3 linked regions of the Callithrix jacchus genome follow. The protein of the gene in region 1 purifies or fractionates together with the protein of each later gene. This does not show direct contact. Links are inferred from orthologs where the notes say so. Each region holds a gene or a part of one and is shown on either strand. Other genes may lie near its edges.

Region 1 (3,500 bases):
AGCTAATTCAATTATATTTTGCTGCATATTTATTTTTTATCCTAACAAATATTCTGATCCAGACCAAAGAAAGAAAATATATATGTTTAATAACCTAAAATAATTTTCTATCAGTGTAAAAAGAACTGACCAAAATATTCAATAAGAAAAATCTAAAACATGTCAATGCAATCATAGATTTGTAATATTTGAATAAAAAGCTACATGATATTACCAAAGGTTATAATTAAGTAACTCACCTGGATCTGGTAGACATCAGTTATTGCGGACAATTGGCCCTATGGCAGAAAAAGAGAGAGAAGACATACACATTATCAGATTATTAAAGGAAGATATTGAAATTCAAATGTATCTAAAACTTGCAGTATTTAATTTTTGTAGCATCACTAATATGAAGCACTATTGTAGGATGGATGGATGGATGGAAGAATGGAAGAATGGATGGATAAAATAAGCATTATTAATAAGTACCCATCACAAAAATAAGCAACACTGTATGTGCCTAATGTGACTGAGTACTCAATAGGAATGCTGGAGAGGCCATTCTTGTGAGTCTCAGGAAGGGATTATGATAGATTACTTCTAAAGCCTTGGCAGTTTGAAATTCTAAGCTGTCATCATTCTTATTCATTAGTCCAAGACCAGGAAACTGTTTCAGCTAAATCACGAATTCACCTAATGTCAACATTTAAGATTCTATTTGTGTTTTTCATTATTCCAGGTAAGAAGTAAAAACATTAATTGAATACATTCTACTTGGAAGTTGTTCTAAATATTGAGAGATGAAGATAAGACTGATGAGATAGGGTCTTTGTCCTAAAAAAATGGTACAAGTACCACACAAATGGCTGTCATACAAGGCAGACTGAGATAAATATTGTAAAAGAGGTACACAGTGATTTAACAATACACAGGAAAGAGATAAATTTTATTAGAAGCTCATGTGGACAGGCGCAGTGGCTCATGCCTGTAATCCCTGCACTTTGGGAGGCCGAGGTGGGTGGATCACCTAAGATCAGGAGTTCGAGACCAGCCTGACCAACATGGTGAAACCCTGTCTCTACTAAAAATACAAAAATTGGCTGGGTGTGCTGGCAGGAGTATATAATCTCAGCTACTTGGGAGGCTGAGGCAGGAGAATCACTTGAACCCAGGAGGCAGAGGTTGCAGTCAGCCGAGACCATGCCATTGCACTCCAGCCTGGGCAAAAAGAGCAAAACTTCACCTCAAAAAAAAAAACAAAAGGAAGTTCGTGAAAGAGGTGATAATTGAACTGCTAATGAAGGACAAGTAGAAATTGTTACAGGCCCTGTAATCCCAGCACTTTGGGAGACCGAGGCAGGTGGATCACGAGGTCAAGAGATCGAGACCATCCTGGTCAACATGGTGAAACCCCGTCTCTACTAAAAATACAAAAAATTAGCTGGGCATGGTGGCGCGTGCCTGTAATCCCAGCTACTCGGGAGGCTGAGGCAGGAGAATTGCCTGAACCCAGGAGGCGGAGGTTGCGGTGAGCCGAGATGGCGCCATTGCCCTCCAGCCTGGGTAACAAGAGCGAAACTCCATCCCAAAAAAAAAAAAAAAGAAATTGTTACAGGCAAAGACTATGCAGTGTGTCTTCATAATTTTTCTCCATAAGTAAAGTGTGCTCCCATAATTTATAAATTCGTTTTGTGCTCATATGTGTCATTTTGGAGAGGTCATATTTTTAACATGAGTGTTAACATCTCTAAGGGCAACACATGTATGCAACTATTCTAAGTGCAACTGTGTCACATGAAGTATTTTCACCTTGATAGCTGTAAATACACTATACTTGTTTTTTCTTTTTGTAACAAAAATCCAGAAACAGAGATTCATTTTTTGTAATTGAGATTATGATAAACTGAAAAATATTTACATACTCTGCTTTTAGAAGTGGTTAAATTACCACTTCAACAAGCATAATATTGCAAGTTAATATATCTGAAGTGATATATTAATAGGTACACATCGTCCACAAAATTTTAGAAGTATGTATATGGAAAAAGACACACTTTATCTTCATGTAAATTTGTCTACGTATTAGAAATAAAATTAAATTCCATTTTTAAAAATCTGCTTGTGTACCTGACTCATGAAGAGATTAAGTATTCACTATAATTGAACTAAAAATTACTTGAAAATGAAAATTCTCTCTCTTACAGCCCCTTATCCACCTCAAAATATTTCTGTTCGTATCGTAAACTTGAACAAAAACAGCTGGGAAGAACAGAGTGGGAATTTCCCAGAGGAATCCTTCATGAGATCGCAAGACACAACAGAAAAAGAAAAACTCTTCCATTTCACAGAAGAAACCCCTGAAATTCCCTCCGGCAACAATTCTTCCGGTTGGCCTGATTTTAACAGCCGTGACTATGAAACTACATCCCAGCCCTATTGGTGGGACAGTGCATCTGCAGCTCCTGAAAGTGAAGATGAATTTGTCAGTGTACTTCCCATGGAATACGAAAATAACAGTACGCTCAGTGAGACAGAGAAGTCAACGTCGGGCTCTTTCTCCTTTTTCCCTGTGCAAATGATATTGACCTGGTTACCACCCAAACCACCCACTGCTTTTGATGGGTTCCATATCCATATTGAACGAGAAGGTAAAGCAGTAGGAAATCAGAGGAAATAGAACTGATGCAAAGGAAGGGAAATTGAAATGTTTTAAAATATGAGTTTAGAAAGACTGATCATAGACAGTTAATATCCAAAGAATAATGGTAAAGGAAGGGAAGAATTTAATTGGGTATCCAATGCAGACTGAGAGCAGAAAACCCAAATGAATAGACTGGATAAGAATCAGAAGGTTTAAGTGATTCATAAGTTGTAAGTACTGCCAACTGTATACATTTTACTGCTCAACATTTCACATGCCTCAGAACAACGAGGAAAATATCATCTCTGGAAATATTTGGAATTAAAGATCTGACTATCCCAGAAAATTACAGCATATCCTAGAGAAATTTTCTGTTTTCTTATATGCAAATTTCTGAAACATGGCATCAAAGTAATACTTACGAAAACATTACTACTTCCTCAAGAATAGGAGGCTTGTGTCCTGCTAACCAGCCTCTCTTGTTCCCTTTAGGGTGTGCCCCTCTGGAACCAGAACCGCAGTTTACCAAAGAGAAGCTGATAGTAAAATGGAAAATACCCAGCAACTGCCATTTCCATATAGCTACCATAGCGTCTGAGAGTCACTCCTTTTATTTTAGCCCCGTGACTTAGGAAAATAGAGCCATGACTTTCAACAAGTCTGGGTCATGATTCCCATCTCAATAGTTGTTTGGTAGATTTTTATGGTTATTTGATATTTATTTAGTTTTTACAGCAATGTACTTCATTTTCCATTTTCCAATCTAGTAGTTTGGGTTGCAGAGGTTATAATTTATAAAAATTTAAAGTTACAATGATAGCCTTATTTTTAGAATAAGGCTTTCAGGCCCATGTAGTCTCATACTGGCACACTCTGT
Region 2 (4,208 bases), on another chromosome or scaffold:
GGGATTTTATTCTAAATGCAAAGGAAGAGTCATTCCAGGATTTTAAGCAGGGGAGTGACATGATTTGACTTTTATTTTTATTTATTTTATTTTGAAATGGAGTCTAACTGTTGCCCAGACTGGAGTGCAGTGGTGCGATCTCCACTCACTGCAACCTCCACCTCCCAAATTCAAGGGATTCTCCTGCCTCAGTCTCCCGAGTAGCTGGGATTACAGGCGCCCGCCACCACACTCAGCTAATTTTTGTATTTTTAGTGAGACAGGGCTTCATCATTTTGGTCAGGCTGGTCTTGAGCTCCTGACCTCAGGTGATCCGCCTGCCTCGGTCTCCCAGTGTGCTGAGATTACCGGTCTTTTTTTTTTTTTAATTATGGAGTGGGGGACAGGATGAGCAACATCTATTAAGGTATTAAGGAAGATATTAAGAGTAGGGGCAGACAGAACAGTTAGGAGACCCTGGCCAGGTGAGAGATACTCTGTGATCCAGAGACCCCGTAATGGAGATATAGTGGACAGATTCAAGTATAGTTCAGGGGTAAAGATTTGGATAGCTTATACATGAAAGGAATAAAAACACCGAGAGTTTTGTCCTGATCAACTAGGTGTTGTGTAACTGTGATGAGTAAAATTCGGGGAAGAGGGGGAATCAACTGCTTGAACTGTAATAATGGTTTTTATTCATTGCCTGCTTACCATGTGCCCAACGATTTACAGATATTTTTTCCCTGTAAAAATTCCCTGTAAAAAACAGCACTGCCAATAAGTACTTTGCCTTAGTTTTGCTGATAAAAAAAACTTAGGCTCAGACTCGGGAGGAGAAGAGGGATAGGGGAGTCTCACCTCTAAGTGGTGGAAGCTTAATCCTATCGTCACGGTCGGCTTTCCGAGACGGTTGCCTTAAGGAGTTGCTTGGAGAACGTAAAATAAGAGTCCGAAGCAATGCGTCCGATGTACAGCAGTCGTGGAATAACTGTACCGGCCCATTCTGCCGCTATACCTCTGCTCCCGCTTTCGGCGCGAAGCTGGATATGAATGAAATTCCATACTTGTAACAGAGAGAAAACTTTTCTCCCGCAATTGGTCAGTGCTGGGGAGGAGCCTCCTGATTGGTGAGAAGCCCGAGGAAGTAGGCGAGCCGGAGGGGATTTCTTGTACCTCAGGGGGCCCCCTCGGTCGACCCCGCCCCCTACTTACGTAATTTTCTACGACTCGGGGTAGCTCGGGCAGAGCCGGTTCCTGCAGCGGCGCAATCCTCTGACATCTCTTCTTCTAATTGGTCGGGAGCTGCGACTGCAATTCTGAAGCCTAACTGGCTGCCCTTGCCGCCTCGGAGGTGAAGTGTACTGCGCTGATTGGCTTCCAGGCGCCGGCCGCGTGTGATGTCCGGGGCAACGATTGGCTCTCGCCTGCTGGGGACTTCTCTCACTGGGACTCGGGACTCCCGGGAAGTGGACTGGTAGAGGACGGGGCTAGCTAGCTGTCTCTTCGGACCAAGGAGGAGACCCACCCCCCCGCGCCCTCCGGTGTGAGGCGGCCTCCCAGGGCCGGGTGGGCTGGCGAGCCGACGCGGCTGCGGCGGCGGAGGAGGAGGCTGTGAGGAGTGTGTGGTACACGACCCGGGACAGAGGAACCATGGCTCCGCAGAACCTGAGCACCTTTTGCCTGTTGCTGCTGTACCTCATCGGGGCCGTGATTGCCGGGTGAGGAGTAGACACGGGGCCGGTGGGTCAGCCTTTGCTGGGGGTGGGAGGGAGTGGGGGATGTGGCATTGCCAGACTGAGGGAGTGGAGAGGGGCATCGCTGTGGGGTGACGGGATGACTGAGGAAGGGGTAGTATGGGCCTGGCTAGTGGGGTGAGAGGAGAACCGTGGGTGACACCAGTGAGAGGGCTTTACGTCTAGAGAGGGCCTTAGGTAGAGCTAGATTTGCCCAGAGGAGTGGGAGTTGGATGAATTGCCAAATGGCATTTGGGGGATGAGGAGAGTTTGAGGGCAAGAAGGTGGTTGTGAGCTGAAGCAGTGTCACGTAGAGCTGGGGAAGAAAGAGGGGTGACTGACTGTATGGCAAGGTAATGACAGTGTCAGGCTGAGGTTGGGGGGATGGACGTTTTGTTTGATCGAAGAGGTGGGTTGCTGTGCCCCGCTGAGCTGGAGAAGCGGATGATACTCTATGCCAAGCCTGCAACGAGTCACTGGGGGGCCGACATTAAAGTGGGTGGATAATGCCAGATCGAGTTGGAACTGAACAAAATCGGATGGGGGAGGGGAGCAAGAAGACCCTTGGAGAGCCCTTGTACTTCCCAGCTTCTTGAGCTATGTATTATCTTCGGTTGCTTCATCTTTAAAGTTCTGGCAGTGCTACTGTTAGAACATTTAAGTGGCATAATCTTTTTAAATAAGGAAAGTCATCCTTTGAGAATGTTATTTGACTTTTAGAAAAGTCAAAAGTCATTTGGAGCCAGTATAGGGAAAGGGAGGAAGAGTTCATTTGACTATATGATTATTGCCTAAAAATAACATGAGACCGTAAAATAAGGAAGCGGTTTTCTTGATTGAAGGTGGCTCTAAAAGAAGAGTTCCACAGATGTTTTGAATAATCTAAAAAGAAGTATGTAGCCTCTTACTGTGATTACATCAATATATAATATTCATTACAAATTCTGGTGTTGTCTTTTTAGTCATACTTTGTGTGTGTATGTGTCGCATAACCCATTTTTGTATTTCTTTGCTCGGATACAAACCCAAATGTAGGGGAAAAATTTTTTTTGCTTTTAAAAATCTAACAGATAACTCTTTAATGAAGTATTCTCTCCCTCTACTTCCCAGGCGAGATTTCTATAAGATCTTGGGGGTGCCTCGAAGTGCCTCTATAAAGGACATTAAAAAAGCCTATAGGAAACTGGCCCTGCAGCTTCATCCTGACCGGAACCCTGATGATCCACAAGCCCAGGAGAAATTCCAGGATCTGGGTGCTGCTTATGAGGTGAGTCCTAAAAAATGATAAAGTATGAATAAAATCTGTAGGTGTAGAAAAAGCATTTACTACAGAGAAACACTCCTTTCAGTTCACTTTTATTTATTATTATTGTTGTTATTATTTTGGGGGGGGACTAAGTCTTGCTCTATTGCCCAGGCTGGAGTGCAGTGGCACATCTCCACTCGCTGAAACCCCCGCCTCCTGGGTTCAAGCAATTCTCCTGCCCAGCCTCCCGAGTAGCTGGGATTACAGGCGCACGCACCACACCCAGCTAATTTTTCTATTTTTAGTAGAGACAGGGTTTCACCATGTTGGCCAGGCTGGTCTCAAACTTCTGACCTCAAGTGATCTGCCCACCTTCTTAGCCTCCCAAAGTGCTAAGATTACAGGCATGAGCCACTGCACCCAGCCAAGGTCACTTTTATTTAAAAACTAAACAGTAGATAAAAGTAAAAGTAGTACTTGATGCTGTATTGTATTAGATATTAAATTCACATTAGTAGATGCCATTTTCTTCCTTTTTATATTAATATTCCAGAATAATGTTGAAAAAGAATAAATGACAGATGATAGATTAATAAGTAGATCAACTGGTCTATCAGTCAGTTTGGGAGCTAGAGCCAAGAATAAAAAGAAAACCTTCATGAGAGTTGCAAGCCTTAAATGACCATATGAACTAGACAAATGACATGCAAGGCAGATATAAATTAAAACATGGCAGCAGATATTCTGCCTCTGTATTGGGAAGCAATAAGGATTGCTGAGGACTTTGACAAACTGAAGGCTCCTTGCCCTATTTCAAGGGGACAGTTGTTACTCAACCCCAAACAATTTTTGTCATATAAATGCAAATAGTATTTTCCTAGATGATTTAATTTTTCAAGAAAAGTTGAAAATCTAGATTTTTATATAAATTCTGCTTGTGAAAACTAATTCAGTTAAATTTCTTTTTTACATAGATCAACAAAGCACAGTTTTAATTTGATTTTGCAACCTCTAATCTGGGGGTCAAAACACTTTCATGTGTATCATCTCATTTAATCTTTACTAGGACACCAGGAAATATAGTAGAGCTAGGCATATTTTCTTATTTTTTAAATGGACACAGAAGAAAATTAATTGAACTAAAAGTCACAGAGCTAAAACTCCCAAATTTAAGTTAAAATTCTTGTATATTGAGAAGGCTAGAAACAAATTGAAAAATATTTTAGGAAGACACAAATCTCAAAAGA
Region 3 (3,881 bases), on another chromosome or scaffold:
AGACCTTGTCTCCACTAGCACAATTTTTAAAATTAGCCAGGCATGGTGGCACAAGCTTGTAGTCCCAGCTACTTGGGAGGCTGAGGTGGGAAAATCACTTGAGCCCAGGCTGCAGTGAGCTACAATCATTGCCACTGCACTCCAGCCTGGATGATACACCAAGACCCTGTCTCATCAGAAATAATAATTATTTGGGCATGGTGGTATGTGCCTGCAGTCCCAGCTACTCAGGAGGCTGAATTGGAAAGATCACTTGAGCCCAGGAGTTCAAGTTTACAGTAAGCCATGATCATGCCACTGCACTCCAGATTGGGCAACAGAGTGAGACCATCTCTAAAAAAGCAAAACCCCCCCAAAAAACCCCAACAACAACAATAAAGGGTTTGGACAGGTTCAGCAGTTAGGCTGGGCTGGAGACAGGTTTTACACTGAGGGAGAGATGATCAGCTAGTCCTGGACTGGCACCTCCTGGTCATCCTCAGGTTCACAGTGAAACAGAATTATAGACCAACATTCTTTAATCACAAAGGCACTTGAGGACCCCTACAAACCCAAAGTCTCTGCCAAAAGTGGCCCTACAGATGTCCCACCTGCCACCCTCCATCCACCCATCCCCACACTCAGAGTTCGTCGTGACCTGCAGAGGGCTCCACACTAGGCTTGATGAAGATGCCTTCCATGGCCTTCCACGTATTGTACGTGTTGGCACTGGGCATGCCGTGGACCTCATGCTGCCCACGGATGGGGCTTCCGTACTGCTCACCCGTGACCGACAGGAACACAGAGGTGCCCACGTGCTGGAAGCGCACAGCGGCCTCACGCTCCCAGTGCTGTCCAGAGCAGCGGACTGTCCATAGGTCGAGGTCATCACCCTCGCCGTCTTCCCCAAAGGCACTCACCTCCTACAGGTGCAGAAGGTGAGGGGACAGCGGTCACCACAGAAGGCAGCATTCGTACCTAGTGCACTGAGCCTCAGGTCCTTCCCTGCCCTTCCCAGAGCCTCAGCTCCCACAGCTGCAAACGGTGACACCATGACCCCAGTCCCCCAACCTCGAGCACTCCCTCCCCACACGGGCTCTTCAGACACATACACACACCATTGCATCTGTCTGTGCAGAGACCACTGGCCCCCACGGAGCTGCCTCCTCCTCCATGTTCTCCCAGTCCTAACTTCTCTGATGCACCTTGGGATCAGCCTAAAATTCAGCCCTTCAGGCTAACAGTCAAGCTCTCTATCTCAACATTTTCTTCCACCAACTCCCCAAGGACACCCACTGTTCAATCTCAACCCCCTGAATTCCAATGACCTCCATGCATTGGCACAATCTCTTCTGCTGGCTTGGGCAGTCCCTCTTTTCCCTCTGTGGCTTGGAGGACATCTTTTCAGACCCAGCCTGAGTTTCTCCTCCCCTGTGGAGTTTCCTATTCCCCACCTTCAAGGGCTGTGTGGATTCCCCTCCTGGGTCCCACTTGCCCCCAGAGGAGTGATTTAGGCGGATCTCTCCGGATCTTTATTCCCGTGGGTCTCCTTGCCAGGCCGGGAGCACCTGGGGGCGGGACCCTGGCAGAGTTACTCTGTGTCCCCCGAGAGGGCGCTCAGTAACCATCTCTGAAGTGAAATTTCCATTTCACGAAGAAGCTGAGGCTCGCATTGGAGCCCACGGCGCTGTCTCCGGCGCCTCCCACAGGCCAGGAGTCTCTCTGGGGGCTCCGGGAGGGGCTCACCTGGTTGTTGGACAGCGGCGACGGAAAGTGGTGCGTGTGCAGGTTCTTGCCGGTGAGCACGTGCGTGAGCCGCACGGCCTGCCCGCAGCGCACCGGGGACCCGCGCGGGCACCCGCCCTCCGAGCCGCCGCGGATCCGCCAGTAGCTATTGGCGTCGTCGGATGACTCCACGCCGGTCACGGATTGCTGGCCGCTGCCTGAGGGGTGACACCCCACCCCACCCCACCCAGGGTCTCTGTCAATCCCGGAACCCCCGGATCCTCGCCCTGGGACCGTAACATTTCCCGGGGGACCCCAACATCTCGCCCCAGCCCCGGCCCCCGTCTGACACCCCCCTCAGTCTTTGGGCCCGCAGTTCCCCGACAGCTGTCCCCGCCCTCAATATCGTCGACACCCTCAAAGCCTTGCACCCCTCGATCCCCCAACGGCTCTAGAGCCCTCGCCTCCCGGCTCTGAGACGGGCCACAGACCCCCCACGACCACCCTGTCTCCACACTCCCGACCCCGAGCCCCCGTCCCTGGCGCTCTCCCAGTCGCGGGCCCCACGCACCGGATCCGTATTTGATGTCGTGCGAGTGCAGCCGCACCCGATGGTGCGTATTGAGCAGCTTCAGCACCGACCCGCAGGTCACGAGCCCCGCGCCGGTCTTGGCGGCACCACCGCCCGGCACTAAGAGCTCCAGTAGCAGCCCCAGCAGCACCGGCCCGGTAGCCCCGCCGCAGCCCGCGATCCACATCTCCCCGGCCAGGCTCCAGCCGCTCCGGCCTTTGGGCCGCTTCCGTCCCCACCGCGGCCCAATCCGGTTCTGACAGCGGCCGCTCGCGGCAGCCAATGGTCGGCCCGCGCGGTGCTCGGCTTGCAATGCCATTGGGTCGGCGCGCAGAAGGGCCGCCTCCAGCTCTCGAGAGGAGTAGCTGGGCGGGGACTAGAGACACGAGGAGGGCTTTGATTGGTCCACGCTTCCAATGTCTTACCAATGAGTGTCCAGGAAAGGGCGGCTAAGAAGCCAAGCGGCGGCAAGTGAGAGAGAGCAGTTAGTGAGGACGCCGACTCCAGCGGCCGCTCAGTCCCTGTACACCGGCTCAGGATCCTAGGGCTCTGCAGGCACGTGTTCACGACTCCCTTGGCCCTGGACTCTTGGGTCCTCAGTATTGAGTCTCTCCCTTCAGAACCTGGGCCCGCACGGGCAGGGTCTTGAGGTTGTTAGATCACTAAACTTTGTGGTTACAAAGTAAGAGTCACTGAATCGCCTGGTCCTTGAGTCCCCGGACCCCGAAATTAATGAAACCCAAGTCATTCGGCTCACTGAAACCTCTGCTTCCTGGGTTCAAGCGATTCTTCTGCCTCAGTCCTGTGAATAGCTGGGATTACAGGCATGTGCCACCTCACAGGGCTGAAGTTTGTATTTTTAATCGAGACGGGTTTCACCATGTTGGCCTGGCTGGTCTTGAATTGTGACCTCAGGTGGGCAGATCACCTGAGGTTAGGACCTCAAGACCAGCCTAACATAGTGAAATCCCATCTCTACTTTAGTACAAAATACAAAAATTAGCTGAGTGTGGTGGCACGCACCTGAAGTGTCAGCTACTCAGGAGGCTGAGGCAGGAGAACTGCTTGAGCCAAGGAGGTGGAGGTTGCAATGGGCCAATATTGTGCCATTGCGTTCCAGCCTGGGCAACAGGAGTGAAACCCTGTCTTTAAAAAAAAAAAAAAAAAAAAAAGGCCGGGCGCGGTGGTTCACGCCTATAATCCCAGCACTTTGGGAGGCCAAGGCGGGTGGATCACAAGGTCAAGAGATCGAGACCATCCTGGTCAAAATGGTGAAACCCTGTCTCTACTAAAAATACAAAAAATTAGCGGGGCACGGTGGCACGTGCCTGTAATCCCAGCTACTCAGGAGGCTGAGGCAGGAGAATTGCCTGAACCCAGGAGGCGGAGGTTGTGGTGAGCTGAGATCATGCCATTGCACTCCAGCCTGGGTAACAAGAGCTGAACTCCGTCTCAAAAAAAAAAAAAAAAAAGTGGGCTGGGGTCTGTGACTCATGTCTGTTAATTCCAGCACTTTGGGAGGCCGAGGCAGCTGGATCACAAGGTCGAGAGTTCGAGACCATCCTGGTCAATATAGTGAAACCCTGTCTCTACTAAAAATGTAAAA

Evidence for each region. The genes of interacting proteins can lie anywhere in the genome.
Region 2: the proteins of PTPRO (region 1) and DNAJB11 purify together in Homo sapiens (affinity purification with mass spectrometry; 3 studies listed by BioGRID and IntAct, with this or other methods). This does not show direct contact. The link is inferred for Callithrix jacchus from reciprocal best matches to the Homo sapiens genes PTPRO and DNAJB11.
Region 3: the proteins of PTPRO (region 1) and SDF2L1 purify together in Homo sapiens (affinity purification with mass spectrometry; 3 studies listed by BioGRID and IntAct, with this or other methods). This does not show direct contact. The link is inferred for Callithrix jacchus from reciprocal best matches to the Homo sapiens genes PTPRO and SDF2L1.

What each region holds. Positions count from the first base shown.
Region 1 is NC_133510.1:7,817,273-7,820,772, reverse strand, and holds part of PTPRO (receptor-type tyrosine-protein phosphatase O), read left to right. Parts: intron 1-2,186; coding exon 2,187-2,630; intron 2,631-3,500.
Region 2 is NC_133516.1:15,553,799-15,558,006, forward strand, and holds the start of DNAJB11 (dnaJ homolog subfamily B member 11), read left to right. Parts: upstream 1-1,408; 5' UTR 1,409-1,632; coding exon 1,633-1,700; intron 1,701-2,825; coding exon 2,826-2,982; intron 2,983-4,208. UniProt on the Homo sapiens protein: As a co-chaperone for HSPA5 it is required for proper folding, trafficking or degradation of proteins.
Region 3 is NC_133502.1:193,604,615-193,608,495, reverse strand, and holds SDF2L1 (stromal cell-derived factor 2-like protein 1), read right to left. Parts: upstream 2,469-3,881; 5' UTR 2,463-2,468; coding exon 2,276-2,462; intron 1,923-2,275; coding exon 1,726-1,922; intron 903-1,725; coding exon 621-902; 3' UTR 501-620; downstream 1-500.